2 linked regions of the Oryzias latipes genome follow. The protein of the gene in region 1 interacts with the protein of each later gene in a biochemical or structural test. Links are inferred from orthologs where the notes say so. Each region holds a gene or a part of one and is shown in the gene's direction. Other genes may lie near its edges.

Region 1 (3,811 bases):
ATATTAAAGGGCCAATGTTCTTCCCTTGCAGGCATTACTTAAAGAAACATTGTCTGCTGGGAGTTTTGTGACACCTAAAACTGTCTTCAGCCTGCTTACTGTTGGTGCGTCGTCCCTTGTAGATTTTGGATTTGGAAACTTCTTTAAACAAGGAGAGCCTTTGGCTACATGGTGTGGCAGCCCGCCATACGCTGCTCCAGAGGTCTTTGAAGGACAACAGTATGAGGGCCCACAGCTGGACATCTGGGTAAGAGAATTTCTTTTAACCAAAACGACAGCTCCTTCACATTCTTGTGCTTAAATTCCCTTCTTTTAATGGGAGTGATCTACTGTTGGATCCATTTAAAAAAGCTATGTGAAGTCAATTAATGTAATTTAACATTTTATTGGCAAGATGAAGATGGAGCATCGGTCTTATGTGTGTCTTTACTGACGTGATCCTGAAAGAAAATAAAAACCTTGATGGTTTACAGGTTTTATGTTGAAAATAAAATAAAAAATGATTACCGGGTTATAATGATTAAGAGCTAAACAACCACGTGATACAAAGGTTAAGGCCAAAGACAAAAGCATCATGGGAAAAAAATCTCAATCTTTTTTAGAAGAGGCTCAGTAACATTAATATAATTAAGAGCAACCGGTGAATCTTTCATTCAGAAGGGTGTGCGTGGATGTGTGAAAAAATAATTGTCATCTCTGATTGGTCTATTGATTGCTGCTCCCTGTATGCATCTGTTTCCAGAGTATGGGGGTGGTGCTTTATGTGCTGGTGTGCGGGGCGTTGCCCTTTGACGGGCCCAGTCTGCCTGTCCTCCGACAGAGAGTCCTAGAAGGAAGGTTCCGCATCCCATACTTCATGACTGAAGGTGAGCGGACACAAGTTTAACTCGTCCAGAACTTTATTACAATCAAGGCAAAGTTTGTCTGGGTTTAGGCATCACATGTATTACCTGGAAGCCATACTCCTCTGCCTTCTTTTGTTTAAAGTGTAGCTAATCTGAGGGGAGGATTTGTGGTGAACTATGAGGAAAGTCCTGCAGAAGGGATGATGCTAAGAAATGGGTTATTGCGGAAAAGTCCAGTAATCGTTGGTTTGAGGTGAAAGATAGAGGTCAGGTTCCATGTCATTTGAAAAACAGTCTTTGATCAAATGGCAAGCATCGCCAGAAGTGCAGGTTTTTGCCAATTGAAATGTAACTTCTCAGTTTAACTACCTGACTTTCACATCACATTTTTACACATCACATTTTTTTTCCTTCTCTGAGGTTGTGTTGCAATGTCATTTCACAAAATGGGTGTTACTTAAATTCTACTTTTCAATATAGATTGATGTTGATGCATTAAAATGTCTAGTTTAGCTTTCAATTTTGATTTACTGTAGATTGGTAAAACTGACCTTTGTATTACTCATACAAATTACCTGCTGGCGTCTTAAGCTCTTTTCTAACTAACTAGTACAGGTAAGTCCAATATCAAATATTTTGTAAAACTTCCCTAAAAGTATCAATCTTTATAGTATGGCACCCTGGATTTACAGTCACATCTGTCAGTTTTTTTCTAAAAACACTGAAAGTTTTTGTGAATCATTGAGTTTTTTCATGTTAAATTATTTAAAAAAAAAAGGGCATGAGTCATCGTACATGTTTTTGACTTTGAGTCACTGTACTGTTGAATGTTTACTGGCACCGTCTATCATGGCTAAAGTAGTGAGCAGGTCGTTTGATCACACAGAACAGTATGCTTTAGGATGGTACAGCATTGGGCACTCTGTCAAAATAGCTGCGTTTACATGGACAAAAGTAATAGGAAAAAACGCCTGATCGTAACAAAAATTCGTCATGTAAACACGCCGCTCGGAATACTCTGCCCCGATCTGACTCATTCGGATCAAAATTTCTTTGCGATCGAGATAGGTGGGTTATGCTGATTGTTGATCCGATCGTTTTGCATGTAAACGGTTCATTCTGATCGTGCGTCGCTACTGCTCTGGTTTAACATCACGCATTGAAGAAGTTTCACTCCAGAGAAGGCTTTGGAGCACAAACAGGACCAACCGGCTGCTCTGCAGACGCCTTGTGTTAAGCACTCTTCACCCCTCACGAAGTGGGGTGCCGGGGAGGAGCGCTTCGTGCCCCCTGACGTCTGGACCCTGCGCGGTCCAGGCTCGGGTGCCGGTGGACCGAGCGAACCGTGTCTCTGCAGAACAGAACAGACGGACTTATAACTTTGTGTTTGAGGGGAGGGGAGGATGCTTTGTTACGTTTGTGCTATGTGTGGGAGGCTTCGGGCTGCGATCCGTCCCGCTGCTCTAGGTGAACGAGCTGCTGGACTCAGGAGAACAGTGTCTCCCGGTAGAAATGTGTCTCTGAGCAGAGCTCGGACTTCCAGCTCACACAGCGGCTTTGGGGCAGTGAGCTTTTCAAAGCAGAAATGTCGGTCAGTCCTTAGAAACCGTTCAAACAATCACGTGGATTTGTGTTTCCAGTCATGTCCTGACTAAATAAAGGCTGATGTTATTCCCACATATTTTCGTGCAGCCTAGATGCAGATTGTGGCATTTCCCGCATGGATTTTGTGTTCATCAAAGAAGGCTAATGTTGTTAGCGTGTTAGCTTTCTCTTAACCCTTCTTCCAGCTCCGTTCCACAATAAACAAAGCACTGACCAAACCGATTCAAAATAAAAGGATGAGCGGACATGCTCTTCATAATAACTATAACAATAATAAATGCACGTTTAGAAGATCATCTTGTATATTACTGAACTGCCAGATATCTATGTTTGTGGCAGCTCAGCTTGTTTACAGCGAGACTCATTTCCTCTTCCGGCGCACGTGCAAATTATTTATTCCAGACGAAAGTGTGGCCCATGTAGACGTTTTGTTTTAATCGGAAAAAGTTTTTCTGGGCCCATTTACACGGTTGAATTATAATCCGATCTTTGATCCGATCAAGATATTTTGCACATGTAACCGCGGCTACTGACTGCTAACATTTGCAGGGGTCATGTGTTACATGCAGGAGTGAGTCAGGTCATATGACTGTCTCAAAGCAGCCCCGCTGTTAGCAATTGTGCTAGCTTGCAGGCTGGAGATTAAATCCAGAGCACGAGCTGTTTATGTAATCTGGGGGACAAGGCAGCAAAGCCCTCCTGCAGGCTCTTCCAGGAGACCCTCTGTATGTCTCGTTGACTCCCACTGTCTATGAAATGTCTTCCTGTTTGTCTATTTGCTCCTCATGATCGAAGTCTCCGTAAGGGGGAGTGCTGGAATTCATGTCATTTCTTCTTCTTTTGTTCCGAGCCTTGAAACAATTAGGAGACGGGGAATGTGAGAGTGTAATGTCAGTTCTTGGCCTAGACTGACAATCCAACCCGCCTTTCCACCCTCACTCCTGCCCCTGTTCCCCCCCCCAAATGTGAAGAACAGAGTGTTCTCATTTCTTCTACTAGAAACAGACCTCATTTCCTCCCATTGCTCTCTCTGGTCAACTCTGTGGTGCAGGGAACAGACTAGCACCTCACTCTAAACTCTCACTAGAACATTTTAGTCCAGTGAATGCTGTGGTCAGGCACTGATCAATGACCTTTTCAGTTTTTTGCATACCTTTGCATGTCTCTTCTTTATTCAAAGCTTCATAGGGACTCAGGTTGTCTATGCATTCAGTCATGTTTTAATGGTTGCATTTGAAAACTTTATTTTTAAGCTTTGGTGTGATTTATATACACTGAGATGCATATATGCAATCATAAAAAGTACTTTTCTCTAGTATGTCTTTGGACAAAAAAAAACCTTTGACCCATTGCATCTCACT
Region 2 (4,488 bases), on another chromosome or scaffold:
GTACCCTGCTGTAGATCTAGAACCTTGAGAGGGAACGTCCTAACTACCAGACGTTTAGGACAGAATGGCCCTCGAGCCTCAGGTTCCTGCTGGTCTTTGATGGAACACTCAGTTTCAGGTTCCTCCTCTGCAGGTCCCGTGTGTGCGGGGGTGGTGGGTCTGAAGATGCCACGGTACTGTCTGTTCGGCGACACGGTCAACACGTCCTCCCGCATGGAGTCCAGCGGAGAAGGTGAGTGCAGAACCTCTGATCACACCTGAGGAGCCGTCACTTCACACAGCTGAGAAACCCTTAGAACCGGGGAGGAACCCGGGGGGAACCCGGTGAACCCAAGCTCAGTGAAGCTTCAGCAGATACACAAAAAACATGAAATCAGCTGATGTAAAACATGGAACCCTGACTTGCTGTTAATCCGTGCGTGTGTGTGTTTGTGCAGCACTGAAGATCCACGTGTCTGCTGCCACCCGGGACGTCTTGATAGAGTTCAACTCCTTTCAGCTGGAACTCAGAGGAGACATCGACATCAAGGGCAAAGGAAAGATGACCACCTATTGGCTGCTGGGAGAAAGTGACAGCCAATGAGATGACAGGAGGTGAAGATGGAAGGAGATCCAGGAGGAGGCAGGAAAAGTGACTGACCTCCTCAAACAGGCCAAAGTTCTGCAGAATTGTGTTCCTGGACAGAAGCAGGTCAGGAGTGCAGGAGAAGATCAGCAGGTTACTGACTCTCCTTCTGCAGCAGTTCTGATCCACTTGGGGGGTTCTGACTCTGAGGGAGGTTCTGCTTACCTGAAGACTAGTGAGTCAGGTGATGCAGCATCTGCTGCTTCCACGATCACCGTCCTTTCATGGTGGAAAGCAGCAGAACTTCAGCTCACAGGTGAAGAAGCTGTTTTCCCTGTGGCGCTGTGGTCCTGCAGGTCCCTGATCCGCCACCAGAGGGCAGCAGAGGGTCGTAAGAGGAGCTCCAGGCTTCATCCTGCTGTGCAGCTCATCTCTGTAAATACTCATGTTTCTCTGTCTTTAAATTAGAATTTGGGATGAAATGTCATCACCGTCATTTGTGTCAGAAAAAACCTCAACAAGAAAGTTTAGAGCAAAAGGATCCAACTTGAAGAAAACACCTCAGGTTTTCCTTTGAAGATATTTCGTACATGCTGAGTGAAATGGAAAAATGTAAAGTCAACTATGTTTTAGCTGGTAAACTGCAGAAGAAGATTATTTAAAGATCAAACCAAACTTCTATGGTTTGAAAAAAGCAACATAGTAAGCTCAAAGACCATCTGAAATGTGGTATTATTGTGGTAGTCCTCAGAGACCCAGCATCTGCTCCAAACACACAGGAAAGAGGTGAAATCTGTGGGGGAACAGATGAGCTTATCTTCTGATAACATTCGAAAGGTTTTCCATCACATAAATACAGATGTCTGCCCCCCAGAAACAATCCTCAGATCATTTAATCTGAAGGAGTGAATAAATAAAGACGTGTGAATGTTCCTTTGTCATTTAGCAGCAGGGATGATTTCAGATCACAGTTCTGCTGGCCTGAGACTCCGCCCCCCATCTCATAAAAAAGACTCAAATCTTTGTCCAATCCAGTAAAGTGGAGAAGATGCTCAAATGTTGCATGTTCATCTCCATGGAAACTGCCTCTTATGTGGAGCAACGTGTCACATGTTGATGCTCGTCTCCTCATCTCAGAGGGAGACTGGGAGCAAAAACCAGATTCAGGTTTCAGTTGTTCGAGTCCAGTGTTGGCCAAAGAGCGCATCTTTAGCGCACATTTCCACGCGACTTTCTGTGCGTACAGACTTTTATGAATGAGGCCCGGAACTGCCGGAAGGAGGACACCGCTGCGCTGACGGCCGCTCGCCAGCAGGGGGAGCTCCCTCGCCTGTGTCAATCGGACAAAGCTCGTCTGTAGGATGATGACTCACTACGCTGGATTAGTCGGGGTGTTCACGTTTCATATGCTGGACATCTAGGCTCATCGAAAGCTGCTGTCCTCATTATTCACGGAACCTTCTCCTACTTGCTGTTTCTTATTTCGATCAGGTGTGTTTCGTTAGTCAGAAACCGGACTCACCTGATCCAGTTCATCGGGGGGAAAAGTTCATTTAGATTCGACTTCCTCACACATGCGCACAAGTGCCTACCTTGATAAAGTTCACTGCTTTTTGTCTGATAGGAATATAGAAACAAACATTTGATGGCATTATTTGCAGTCTGTATAACCAAACATACGTTGAGTCTGCATTATTTCTGTGGATTTCTCCAGTCCCTGGTGATAAGAGGCCAGCTTCCTTTTGAAGACTGGATTTGTCAATCCGTCAAAAGTAAATCTGGAAATCTAATCGATAACCCGGGAAATGCTGACATGGTTCTGGGTTTTGAGGTTGAGAGGGAGTCCGCTCGGTCAGTTCTTTGAAAATGGCCACGGAGTGAGCCCTCTTCGTTAGCAGCCCCTCTTTGGTGAAAATCATTCCACTACGTCAAGTCGTCCCGTCCGCTCGGGGAAGATGTCTGCGACGGGTACAGGCGGCTGTGGACCGGGACCCGGACCCGCCTCGGGAACTGGGTCCGGTGCCTCAAACCCCCGAAAATTTAGCGAGAAGATAGCGCTTCACACCCAACGGCAGGCGGAGGAAACAGCCGCCTTCCAGGAGGTCATGATGGACATCACTTCGACCAGGGTGAGTCGGAGACGGAGGCAGGAGGAGGAGAGTCGCGGAGGAATAGAGGCCTCCCGGAGGCTCGCAGACTCCCACGCACAGCTACGTTTGACCGCGCGCGGCTCCGTGCCCGCTGTCTGGGAACCTGTCAAGTTGAAGTCCTCGGCGGGAAGCGCGAGCGCTGTGTCGCAGTTGGAGCGTCGGCGGAGCGCGCGGAGCCGCAACTCGTCGCTTCCGATAGCGCTAGCCGCGTTAGCCGCTATGCTAGCTCGGCTTGTTTACTGTGATACGTGACGCCGCCGTCAGCCGGGGACGCGCCGCCGGACCCCCGGTACCACCCTGCCTCTCTGTGGGTGCCAAGTCCCTCTCCGTCCCGGCTGGTTCCGAAGCTCAGCGCGGACGGAGGTCGGGCTGATCCGAACCGGTTGGCCGACGTTGCAGGGCCGAGGAAGGCGGCAGCTTTCACAGCTCCGCCGGTGTGAACGGCGGGTGTCGGTGCCGGTGGGAAGCTGGACGTCTCCGACGGCTCAGGCTGAGCTACAGTCACAGCTCCTCTAAATGATTCTGATGGCTGAAGAGCGTCTGGATCCAGCAGAACCGATCTGGGAGCAGACTGAACCAGGTGGGGGTCCTCCAGCAGGAGTTCACCAGGTCTGGACTCAGACGTGGTTCTGCAGCTTCAGAGTCTCCTGACATCAAGATCAGGAGGATCCTCTCTGTGGTCCTGAGCCGGTTGTTGACGTTCACCTGAAGGCCTCAAACCCCACAGAGGTCAAGCTGCTGCATCACCTGAGGTGCCCCAGCGGTGCTGTGTCTGAGCAGGACCACGGGTCGACCCATGTGTTCTGTTTACTTTAGTTTATAAGATAAAGTTCCTTTATTGATCCCAGCTTGGGAAATGTGGTTGTTACAGCGTCAGCGTTAGGCGCAGCCCCTCAGCGTTTAGCTCTTTCCTGAGCTAAAGACCAGTCGGCCTTCCTCCTCCTCTCTCACCTGGAGTGTTCGGGCTCACCTGGAGTGTTCGGGCTCACCTGGAGTGTTCGGGCTCACCTGGAGTGTTCGGGCTCACCTGGAGTGTTCGGGCTCACCTGGAGTGTTCGGGCTCACCTGGAGTGTTCGGGCTCACCTGGAGTGTTCGGGCTCACCTGGAGTGTTCGGGCTCACCTGGAGTGTTCGGGCTCACCTGGAGTGTTTGGGCTCACCGAACGCACGTCTGCCTCGCTCCTGAGACAGTCCAGGTTCAAATGAGCCCAGCTCCATCAGGAAGGGGGCGTGGCTTCATTCCACTGTGATAGGGTCCATGGCTGCTCCAAGGTCAGAGGTCATCTGTTTGTTGAGGAAGAGCCTAAAGCGGGGAGTCAGGCATCTGATGCTGGAGGGGCCCAGTGAAGCCGGAGCTCCAGCTCTTGTCATTTGCTCGATGTGGGTTCAAATCCCAGGGTTGGGTGTCAGTACTGGTCCTCTCCAATAGAAGGAAAAGGCTTCAGTGACTAAAGCGTAATAATCTACTGACATGCTAGTGTCGGACTGCACTGCCTAACAAGCCCCCTAGTGGCTACTCGATGAACTGGCTCCAGTTTGGTTTCCTACCAGCTTCAAGCAGGAAAGACGTTTTTCTCACTTTGATGGTGTGTTGTCAGCGATGTGGTCGTTGGCCTCCTGGCAGGAAATGACATCACTGAAGTGAGGCCTGCTGTTGTCATGACGATCAGTCTGAATTTACAAGAACTGCGGGTCGGGTTCTGGATCTGTTCAATCCAGATTCATGATCTGCAGCTTATCCCTAAACGTTTCTGATTGTTTACTTCCTGTTTC

Evidence for each region.
Region 2: of the proteins of sik2 (region 1) and CREB-regulated transcription coactivator 2, one has a biochemical effect on the other in vitro, tested with the Homo sapiens proteins (2 studies listed by BioGRID). The link is inferred for Oryzias latipes from reciprocal best matches to the Homo sapiens genes SIK2 and CRTC2.

The regions. Positions count from the first base shown.
Region 1 is NC_019871.2:15,495,007-15,498,817, reverse strand, and holds part of sik2 (serine/threonine-protein kinase SIK2), read left to right. Parts: intron 1-122; coding exon 123-247; intron 248-742; coding exon 743-866; intron 867-3,811. UniProt on the Homo sapiens protein: Serine/threonine-protein kinase that plays a role in many biological processes such as fatty acid oxidation, autophagy, immune response or glucose metabolism.
Region 2 is NC_019874.2:32,400,748-32,405,235, forward strand, and holds the start of CREB-regulated transcription coactivator 2, read left to right. Parts: upstream 1-1,613; 5' UTR 1,614-2,520; coding exon 2,521-2,694; intron 2,695-4,488. Other genes in the region: olgc2 (membrane guanylyl cyclase), read left to right, coding at 134-232, 438-583. UniProt on the Homo sapiens protein: Transcriptional coactivator for CREB1 which activates transcription through both consensus and variant cAMP response element (CRE) sites.